2 linked regions of the Arabidopsis thaliana genome follow. The protein of the gene in region 1 binds, or shares a complex with, the protein of each later gene. Each region holds a gene or a part of one and is shown in the gene's direction. Other genes may lie near its edges.

Region 1 (5,845 bases):
ATTTCATGAAAGATTCACTAAAGAAGTTTGACGTGAAGTATGAAAGATATGTTTATTGCAACGACATGGTTCCTAGGTTGCCTTTCGACGACAAAACACTCATGTTTAAACACTTTGGGGCATGCCTTTACTATGACAGTTTCTATAAAGGAAAGGTTGGTTGCATATATATGACAATCTTGTTTCTTTGCTTTAATCACTCATCCGTCTAATGTCGCTTACGCACTTACCCTACTGATGATATCTATCTACATTGTTGTTGTTTAATTTGTATTATGTTCAGGTAGAGGAAGAGGAACCAAACAAAAACTACTTTAATCTCGTATGGGTTTTACCAAAGATAATGAATGCACTGTGGGAGTTGATACGTAGTTTCGTCATGCCTTATTGGAAAGGTGGAGAGTTCAGAGAAGGATGGTTCTTAAGGTGTTTTAGGGTTGTTGCATTGTTGATTCCTGGATTACCTGCTCACTTCCCTAATGAGTACATCAATGTTACTCTTTTAGGTGACTTACCTGACTCGCATCTTGATTAAATTTTGACGAAGTCATAAATTCTTTTGAAAAGTTGATGTGTTTAGCTTTTCTAGGGTCTCGTTTCGGTGATGTAGGTGTTATTTTCTTATTTTGGCCTTAGATCATCCTTTCTTTCTCGCAATGATTCTACGTCTCACTTTATCTTTATCTGCATCAAGAAAAGAAATGCATAAATATTTCAATAAATACTTAGTGAAACGATTCTCTTACCTGCGAGTTATACACACAAGCAAACCAATATAACAATCAACAAATAAATCATGAAATAAATCAAACCAATGAACAATCATCCATTGACACAACCATCTCGGGGGATTGAATAATGGTACCAAAAATACTGCCTATACATACAACAAATAAATCACACAATCTCAATTGCTTAGATAATCTCATGGTCACATACCCACCTCGAAACAAGAATGATTTTGAAACCAAAAACAACAATCCCACAACGAGCAGTAACTTCCTACTCACCAACAATATCTCAACTCACCATACATCCAACTACAACAGCAAACCAACCTTTAACCTAAATTGGAAAAAATCTGAAAATAACCCAAACAATTGGTCTCAAATATTGAGTCACGAATCGCAATCTAACCGTCCAATTCAAATCTCCACCGTTGAAACTCAACCCTCAAGATGTCCTGAAGCTAACCTCAAAGTTTAGTGATGATCTGACCGCAGGTGCACTCGAGATAATTTGTTTAATACACTCTGGTCTAAATCACGTCTGAAACAGAGGACTTTACGAAAACACAGATAACTTTTAGAATATTAACTCAAATCCAAATCCGCAAAGTGGTAAATCTAGTTATAAGGCTTAGCTACAACTCAATAAAATTTCCGTACCATAGAAGGCTATTTGATTGATCAAACCTCTGTTCTACCACGACATATCTGATATGTCTCTCTCTTCCTTCACCAAAATTATCAAGTAGTTTCCTTTTTGGTGTTTTTTACATAATATTTTTGATATCAAACCAAATTTTTTCTTGTCTTTATACAGAATTTTCTGAAAAAAAATGTTACATAATCTCTTTTACGCAATTATCATCCCATCATGGAGTAGATATAATATTTGTAACAAAATATAGTTTACATAAAAATCATAAATAGTTTGACAAAAAAACAAAGAACAAAAAAAAAGAAGAAGAGAAAAATCATAAATCCTGTCAGAAGTACCGGAGCGAGCCTGACTGGAGAAATCGAGAATGGAGGACGGCGAAATAGAGGAAGGAATGGTAACTGCCGACGAATTCCCGACGCCGGAAGTAACTACCATAGAGACTATACAACCTCCCCGAGAGCCAGGAAAATCTCCACTCGAGCTACTTCGAGAGAGCAAAACCTCCGTAGAAGAAATCGTCGCGAAGATGCTCTCCATGAAAAAACAAGGAAACCACAAATCTGAGATTCGAGAACTCCTCACTCAAATGTTCCTCAACTTCGTCAATCTTCGTCAGGTACTTACCAATCTTCTCCCTCCACCTCTTTCGCTATACGATACTTATTAGGGTTTTTTTCGCAGGCGAATCGGGCGATTTTGACTGAGGAAGATAAAGTGAAAGCGGAGACGGAAAGAGCAAAGGCACCTGTTGATTTCACGACATTGCAATTGCATAATCTTATGTATGAGAAGAGCCATTACGTTAAAGCTATCAAGGCTTGTAGAGATTTCAAATCTAAGTATCCTGATATTGACCTTGTTCCTGAACAAGACTTCTTTCGTCATGCTCCTGAAGCTATCAAAGATCAATCGCTTTCAAGTGATAGTTCTCATGTTTTGATGCCTAAGAGACTCAATTTTGAGCTTCATCAGGTTGGTTAATCATCACCATCTCTGAAATTCATTCAACGTGATATAATGTTTCATTACCTTTTTATGTTTTTTGATTCAGAGGAAAGAATTGTGTAAGCATCGAGCGAGATTGGAGCAACAGAAGAAGAGTTTATTAGAAACCATTGCGGAGCGTAAGAAGTTTTTGTCGAGTCTTCCTCTACACCTTAAGTCTCTGAAGAAAGCATCGCTTCCAGTACAGAACCACTTGGGTATACAGCACACAAAGAAACTGAAGCAGCATAATTTAGCTGAGCTGCTTCCTCCTCCGCTTTATGTTCTATACTCACAGCTCTTGGCACAAAAGGAAGCTTTTGAGGAGAGTATTGAATTGGAGGTAGTTGGGAGTCTTAAGGATGCTCAAGCTTATGCTAGACAACAATCCAGAAAGGACTCAGGTAAGTTGTTTTGAAAATTTACTGTGTTTTCTAATACTAAAACGAAAAGAATGCTAATTTGGTATTGGTTTTTCAGGTATGTCGAGTAATACAGAGAGTTCTAGGTTGGAGGATGATGGACCTGATGACGATGATGATGGACAAAGGAGAAGAAAACGACCCAAGAAACTTACTAGCAAAGAAGGTTCTGACAAGGCAGGATTATATCAAGTCCACCCTCTCAAAATTGTCCTTCACATATATGATGATGAGATACCAGATACAAAATCCTTGAAACTTGTCATTCTCAAGTTTGAGTACTTGCTGAAGTTGAATGTTGTATGTGTTGGCGCTGAAGGCTCTCAGGATGGACCAGAAAAAAACATATTTTGTAACTTGTTTCCAGATGACGCTGGACTTGAGCCTCCTCATCAGGTAACTTTTTGTTTCTGTGTTTCAGTTTTCTTCTACATGTGACTTTTGATGGCTTTACTTTTAAAAATGCATACTCAATTCTCTTTATATGGCCGGTTTTCCATGCAGTCAACCAAGCTCATCCTTGGTGATGGTCAGACGTTTGATGAGAACAGAACTTCAAGGCCTTATAAATGGGTACAACATTTGGCGGGAATTGATATTTCACCGGTTTTATTAGGCCAAGAAGCTCATAACACTGACCCAGCTAAAAGTGATACGTTTGTGCCTGATCTTTCATTGTATCGCCAGCAGCATAGAGTGCAAACAGTTCTGCGAAGAATACGCTTGCGGAAAAAAGCGCATCTGGCTCTTGCGTGAGTTCACCACTCTGTATGTTTTCCGTCTTAATTAAAGAACACGATGCAAAGAATTCCAGAAAATTAGTAGACCACCATGATAATCAGCATATGGTTTGTACATTTAATAGTTTGGGTTTGTCAATAACTTGGCGGTCAATTTAATCCCTCTGTAGCATTGTCAACTTCGTGATAAGAGCTTCTATAGGTAATTATTTCTGTTGATATGTTTATTTTTGCTGAATACTTTGGAAACTTCTACTGGCTACAGGGAACAGCTTGATTTGCTTATGAAACATGAGTTACCAGTGGTGAACTGCGAAGATGCTCCTTGGGCACTGCATAAGGTTCTCTGTGCTTTGGATTCCTGGTTACATATACAATCTTCAGCTAGTAAGTCATGCTCTCTGACTCTGAACAGTGTGGAACAAGTTCCAGAACCTATGGAAATCGATGTAGATGGAAGATCTATTTCTGGAAAAGAAGATTTTGAAAGTATACGGGAAGATGGAGAACTTCCCTCTTTGGTCACGGCGGCTGCTTCGTTAACCAGTTCCAATCATACCCCATCGAAAGTATCTAATCAAGCACGGTCAAGGCAGTTGGCCTTGATGACAAAGAATCTAGATTCTCCGATTAGCAAAGGAAAGTCCCCAAGTTTCAAGAAATACGAAGATGATTTGGATCTTGTTCTGGACGATGATAGTGAAATAGATGAGCCAACCGGAAGAACTGAGGCGCATGTGGAAGAGTTATGCCCTGAGAAAGCTGATAATTCATGGGTGGATTATGGTTCGAGAGAGTTTGCGCTTGTGTTCTCCAGGAAAACAGATGGCGGAAAGTTGTGGAAGTTAGAAGCAATGGTAACTTCTAAAACACTATCTTCTAATACGGTATCTTCCCTATATCTTTTTCTTTCTTAAGTGTTAAATCGAGTTGTATTGGCAGGTACAAATTAGCATGGAGTATCCTCTTCGACCTCCTTTGTTTTCTCTGTCTCTCCACGCATCTTCTTCATCAGGAAATGAAAATGGGACAAATGAAAGTGACCATTACAATGAACTTCGAGCAATGGAAGCAGAAGTAAGTGTCAAACCCAGTAACATATACTAATCTTTACTCGATGACACCAAAGATAACGCCTTTGTAACCTTTTCGTGGCGGTATCAGGTGAACCTTCATATGTTGAAGATTATTCCTTCAGATCAAGAAAACTATCTCCTATCTCATCAAATCAGATGCTTAGCAATGTTGTTCGACTATTACGTGGATGACCCATCTCCAGATTCCAAAAGAGGAACAGCCACAACTGTGGTTGATGTCGGTTTGTGCAAGCCTGTTGACGGTAAGCTTCTTGTGAGATCATTCAGAGGCAGAGATCACCGGAAAATGATCTCATGGAAGGGCAGAGGATGTGCATCGGGTTATCCATGCTAGAGATTACATCGCCACTCACTTCTCTATATTATCTTTCTCTGGTGGTACAAGCAAAAGTTTTTGCATGTAACATTTTTTTATCGTATAAACCGTTATTGAAACAGCCTACTTGTTGGGTGAGGACCTGGTCTGTTTTAAACCTGGCAATGTTTCAAGTCCAATCCGTTTTAGCCTGCTCTGTTTTGGTCTCGATTTAAGCATTAAAGCCTAGCGGGTAGCTTGGAAACTAGAAAAGTGAAAAAGGGCTCGTCACAGGTTTTGGAGAAAAAAAAAGGAATCAACTCGTAGACAACCGTTATTACAGGTTGCTACTGCAATCATTGACAAATGTTGTTCCTGCAATTGGAGGTAGTGAAGAAAACAAAACCAAATCAAATTGGATATTAGTTTATAACTTTCAAGTGATTATATAGTTTGATTTACTTTAACTTTTAGTTTTTTTGTCATCTTATTTAAGTACAATTACCAAGGAAATATGCAAGTTTGAATTACAAGAGCGGGCGGAAAATAAATACATCCCAAAAACTTAATCCAAAAGAAGGAAGCGAATCCCTAAATTACAGGAAAACTGTCAAACGTAAATTTTTACATATCAAAAAGACAAAGCAAAATCAAAGGCATGAACGAAGACCTAAGAGGAACCACGATTTGCTAAATTCACTCCCATGTCCCAGGAAGAACAAAGCCAACCACAAAAGACAGTGAAATTTTTCGTGTTTTGTTGCAAATGAATCAACACTGAATTTTTTTGATTTATTATAGGAGTTATTTTTGTATATTGCAAATGAATCAATAGTGAAAAAATTTAGCAGCAATTATTGAGCCTATAATATAATTTTATAGTTTTATGGTTGAGATTAGTATGACATTGTTTTCTAAAGC
Region 2 (4,847 bases), 5.5 Mb from region 1:
TGCAGTAGTATGAATTAGAGAGTTATGTTAATGGTTAGTAGTCATACTTCTGATGGAAACTGGGAGGCCCATCCATTCATGTCAGCTCTTGCATTCTGAAATATCCCTCCAGAAGCCAGAGGGCTAGGGTGGTCAAGCCCACTCTGACTTAAAACTGTAGCATTCTCCAACAGTGTGGTTACACGCAAAATTTCTGTTCCAAAAATGTCAATTTGCAAGAGTAAGACGCACCAGTTAGAATTAGTCAACAAATCAGTCACCAAGACACCAATGAATGGAGAGACAGCATAGTTAATTGAGTTAGCTTAAAATATATTTTTGCTCTCACTCTAGTTAAATACACTCTGGTTAAATAGAATGAAGTCAGTATAAGAAATATAGAATTAGTCATTTCGTGATCTACTTCTAATAGCTAACAATTAGGTCTCTCTTAGCAGTACTGTTTAAGAGTTTATCAACTGTATTATAGCTTCATGAATCTGAAGCAAAGAATGAAGTATTATGTGAGATGAAAATACAAATAATAAACAACAAAAACAGTAATGCTCACCTTGGTTTAGTAGCCGAAATGCATGTGGAAGCACAGGCAGGAATGGAGTAAGCTTATGACGCTCTGCAAGTAACTCTGAAAGATACCTGCCAAAACAGAAATTGTGCAGAGTATCCAAATTAGTAAAAAAGCCTCAAAGACACATCAAACTTACAAACAGATACACTCAAATTCACTCTAAATCGATACAACCAGATTCAAATTTCCATTCTTTTGTGAAGTGGATCTAGTCAATCTTCCAAAAATCGTATTTTTTTTAACAGTTTCATCAGCCAAGAACAGAAATCAACAATAACAGAAACGAACACAACCAATGAAATGATCCTCACACACTAAAGACTTATGCTTTACAAAAAATGAACTGGATTGAGACAAATCTGAAATAGACTGAGCTAGTTCCGAAACATAGATCCTAATATAATCAAAAGAAAACAAAAAAGACAAAAATCCAGATTCGAGATACACTATTAAGATCTAAAAATCAAAATCAGCAAAGCAAAGATCAACATACTTCATCAGATACATCAGCTAATTATAAAAGATCACCAAACAATAAAAAACAAAAATATAAAAGAAGATGAAAAACTAAGATTCGATTACTTCTCTTGCTCAACGAAGACAGAAGACTGTGATCGGAGACCACCGGAGTAATTAGGAGACTGAGGAGCAGAAGGAGGCACCGAAAGAGACGACGAATACGTCATAAACCTCCCTCCGCCGCCACCACCAATACCACCACCACTTCCTCCTCCTCCACCACCACCACCACCAAGCGACGACATCATCATCATCTCGAAGACAACAGAATCAGAGTAAATCTGTCGGAGATTAGAAGAAGAAGAAGAAGCGGCGGAGGCAGAACCAAAGCTGTTGTTGTCTCTCTATAACGTCGGTGGATTTAAGAGGTCATTTTATAGAGACTGTGAAATGATTACTTGTTGTTTGCTTAGCTGTTTTTTTTTTCACCTTTTTTCTTTGTTTCATATTTTACCCAATTTTACCGCTCTTCTTGTTAGTTTCTCTCTGAAGACTCTTAACCATCTAGAAGGTTTTTTACATCCGGTTTACTAAAATTCGATTCGGTTTATCTATACCGGAATGACTAAACGCTGCGTTTCAGGAAGCGAAGCTCTGATATTCAGTAGGCCGCGAAGGAAGGTTGAAGAAGAAGAGTTGAGAATTAAAAAATGGAGGAGACGACGATTCCTTTCAAGAGCTTACATAGCAGAGAATATCAAGGTCATAAGAAGAAGGTTTTTTTTTTCTATCTCCAGTCTAATTTTCTGTACTCAATAAAACTTGCGAAACCCTAGTTTTTTGCTGAATCTGGGGGAATTTTTGGATTGAAGGTACATTCAGTAGCTTGGAATTCGAATGGAACAAAGCTTGCTTCGGGTTCTGTTGATCAAACGGCTCGCATTTGGAATATCGAACCACACGGTCATGTAATTTCTTTACCTTTTTGAGCTATGGGAACTTCTATGTGTTTTTGATGATGATGAATACATATGGAGAAGTATTGTAGATTGAGTTAAAACTCGATTATTATCTTTGTCATTGTTACTTTTTGAGTTATGTAGTTTTTGTAATTTGGTTGTTTGTGTGGTGTGTGGATACAGAGCAAGGCTAAGGACCTTGAGCTAAAGGGTCATACTGATAGTGTGGATCAGCTATGTTGGGATCCCAAACATTCAGATCTTGTTGCTACTGCCTCTGGTGATAAAAGCGTTCGTCTTTGGGATGCTCGCAGTAAGTTATATTCTTTTAATCGTTTAGTTTTGCTCCTGAAATATGCCTGGAGCTTGGTTTAGAAATCTGTATATTTTCTAATGGATTAGCTATGTGTCATTCACAAATATTTCTCGCAATCTTGGCCTTTGCTTTTGAGTCATATCGCGGAGACTATTGATTGATGAGGATCGGATCTAAGTTTCTTAGAATTATAAATTAGTTATTTAGCCAGATTCCATAAGAGAGGAATTTGATCAGGTTTTTGATATGTGGCTACTATTGTATGTTTTACTATCAATTGCTGAGATATGTCTTCTTCGAGTTCTACAGGTGGAAAATGCACACAGCAGGTAGAACTTAGTGGAGAGAATATAAACATCACCTACAAACCTGACGGGACACATGTAGCTGTTGGTAATAGGGTATTGTCTCGAGCCCCATATCTTTACACTTTCATTGTTCTTACTGTCTATGGATTACTTGATAGATCCCTTTTCATAGTCGTTGTCCTTTCTCTTACTGGCCAATGTAGGATGATGAGCTTACAATTCTGGATGTCCGTAAGTTTAAACCTCTACACAGGCGCAAATTCAATTATGAGGTAACGTAAGCTCAGACTCATGTTAATCTTTATTAATGGCTTTTTTTTTATAAGGCTCTTCCGTATCTCCTGTTTCAAGCTCATGCGGTTATATGTCACCTAAGTTCCTTGTTCATGTAATAATCGTCAAGTAATTTTCTGGTGCCGTATGGAATGTTCTCTTATCTTTTGTCTTCTTGTAACAGGTTAATGAGATTGCTTGGAACATGCCTGGAGATTTTTTCTTCTTGACTACTGGACTTGGTGAGGATTTTAAATTCTGTACTTTCCTGCACACGATTCCCTACCAAAGATTTCTTTGTTTTTGAACTTGAGAAAATGATCTTACTGAAAGTTACTTTGTATGTTGTCCTGCTCAGGCACTGTTGAAGTTCTTTCATATCCATCTCTTAAACCACTTGACACTCTCACAGCCCACACAGCCGGGTGTTATTGTATTGCAATTGATCCTAAAGGGAGGTAATATATATTTACATTTGTGGGCTGGCCTCTGAGACACGAATGATAATCTTTTTGCTTTTGCATCTAATTCTTCCTCTTTACCTTAACAGATATTTTGCTGTCGGGAGTGCGGATTCCTTAGTAAGCCTTTGGGATATCTCAGACATGCTTTGTTTGAGAACATTTACCAAACTTGAGTGAGTATCAACATGAATTTTCCATAGAGTAGAAAAAGGTTTAATTTCTGTTACATGTTAGTAATTTATAACTATTTCTCACAGGTGGCCAGTCAGAACAATAAGCTTCAACTATTCGGGAGAGTATATTGCTTCAGCCAGTGAAGATTTATTCATTGATATTGTAAGTGATTGCCCAGACTTAAACACTGCTAATTTCAATGTAGTTTCCTCAATATGAGATTAGTTCCTCGTATCTGACCACTAACTACCAAACAGGCTAATGTCCAAACCGGGCGGACGGTGCATCAGATTCCATGTCGGGCAGCCATGAACAGTGTTGAGTGGAATCCCAAATACAATTTACTTGCATATGCAGGTGATGACAAGAATCCCAAGTATAATACTGATGAAGGTACTACCGCGTATTAGTACTTCATTGTTAGCAACAACTCAAAACTCTAATATTGGTAGCAGAAAATGAACAATGACAACAACTTGGATCTCTTTGCAGGTGTTTTCCGGATATTTGGTTTTGAGAGCTCGTAGGAACAGAGCACTGAATCGGGAAACATGATACACAACTCCACTTGATTGTTCCTTGTTGAGTTAGAAAAAGTTTATGTGCCTAGTGTACCTAAATATGTATTGTCAGTATATCAAGTTGGAATAATCTTACAGTATCACTAAATACATTGAAAGTTTGCAGTTCTGAATCTGGCATTTTATTTATTGCAAAAATTTGTTACTATACAAGCAATGTTGTTTATTATTAACGAAGAATGAAATTAATAAGATCAAGATCAGAATTCTAATCCCGAATTACATCAATTTTCTACTATGTGTGAGTACTGCTAAAAGTTACAGGTTGTTCTTATTCCCTCCGGCGAATCTTCAGTCTGGGAGATTTGACAGCTACTCTCTCAAAGCTAGAACAGAGGCCAATGGTAAGATCGGACCAAAAGCATCATCCCCACAATGAAGGTTGAAGAAAGAATGCAGAGTCCTGAGAAAGAAAACACATTTATTACTGAGAGTCCAATTTTGGATTAAAGAACAAGAAGAGCACACGATTTGCTTACCGAACAAACAGTGAATAGGAAGAGTTTGTCAAAATCCGCAGAGGATGAACTTTGAGACCGGGAAGAACAACCCTGCAGAGCAAAGAAGAACAATAGTTATCAAATACTGAGAGAACCAAGTAACAGGTTTCCACTTGATCTCAACGCTTGAACTCTTCATCCTCTTCCCACTCATCGGCTCTTTCGACAAATCAAAGCTCGACCCTTTCATCCTCAACTCCAAAACACACCGTGTAAGCGTTCTATTATCATTCCTCTCCCTATTA

Evidence for each region. The genes of interacting proteins can lie anywhere in the genome.
Region 2: THO5 (region 1) and TEX1 share a complex: the UniProt entries of both Arabidopsis thaliana proteins name them as parts of the THO complex.

Annotation. Positions count from the first base shown.
Region 1 is NC_003076.8:17,205,428-17,211,272, reverse strand, and holds THO5 (THO complex, subunit 5), read left to right. Parts: upstream 1-1,622; 5' UTR 1,623-1,750; coding exon 1,751-2,002; exon of another isoform or gene 2,003-2,067; coding exon 2,068-2,358; intron 2,359-2,437; coding exon 2,438-2,774; intron 2,775-2,850; coding exon 2,851-3,188; intron 3,189-3,296; coding exon 3,297-3,544; intron 3,545-3,797; coding exon 3,798-4,389; intron 4,390-4,474; coding exon 4,475-4,609; intron 4,610-4,696; coding exon 4,697-4,963; 3' UTR 4,964-5,302; downstream 5,303-5,845. Other genes in the region: AT5G42930 (alpha/beta-Hydrolases superfamily protein), read left to right, coding at 1-155, 284-535. UniProt on the Arabidopsis thaliana protein: Acts as a component of the THO subcomplex of the TREX complex which is thought to couple mRNA transcription, processing and nuclear export.
Region 2 is NC_003076.8:22,721,956-22,726,802, reverse strand, and holds TEX1 (Transducin/WD40 repeat-like superfamily protein), read left to right. Parts: upstream 1-1,703; 5' UTR 1,704-1,737; coding exon 1,738-1,803; intron 1,804-1,899; coding exon 1,900-1,995; intron 1,996-2,169; coding exon 2,170-2,299; intron 2,300-2,611; coding exon 2,612-2,703; intron 2,704-2,813; coding exon 2,814-2,882; intron 2,883-3,067; coding exon 3,068-3,125; intron 3,126-3,241; coding exon 3,242-3,341; intron 3,342-3,433; coding exon 3,434-3,520; intron 3,521-3,604; coding exon 3,605-3,683; intron 3,684-3,778; coding exon 3,779-3,914; intron 3,915-4,013; coding exon 4,014-4,048; 3' UTR 4,049-4,321; downstream 4,322-4,847. Other genes in the region: AT5G56140 (RNA-binding KH domain-containing protein), read right to left, coding at 48-193, 551-636, 1,151-1,341; AT5G56120 (RNA polymerase II elongation factor), read right to left, coding at 4,610-4,847. UniProt on the Arabidopsis thaliana protein: Acts as a component of the THO subcomplex of the TREX complex which is thought to couple mRNA transcription, processing and nuclear export. Contributes to the integrity of the endogenous trans-acting small interfering RNA (ta-siRNA) pathway.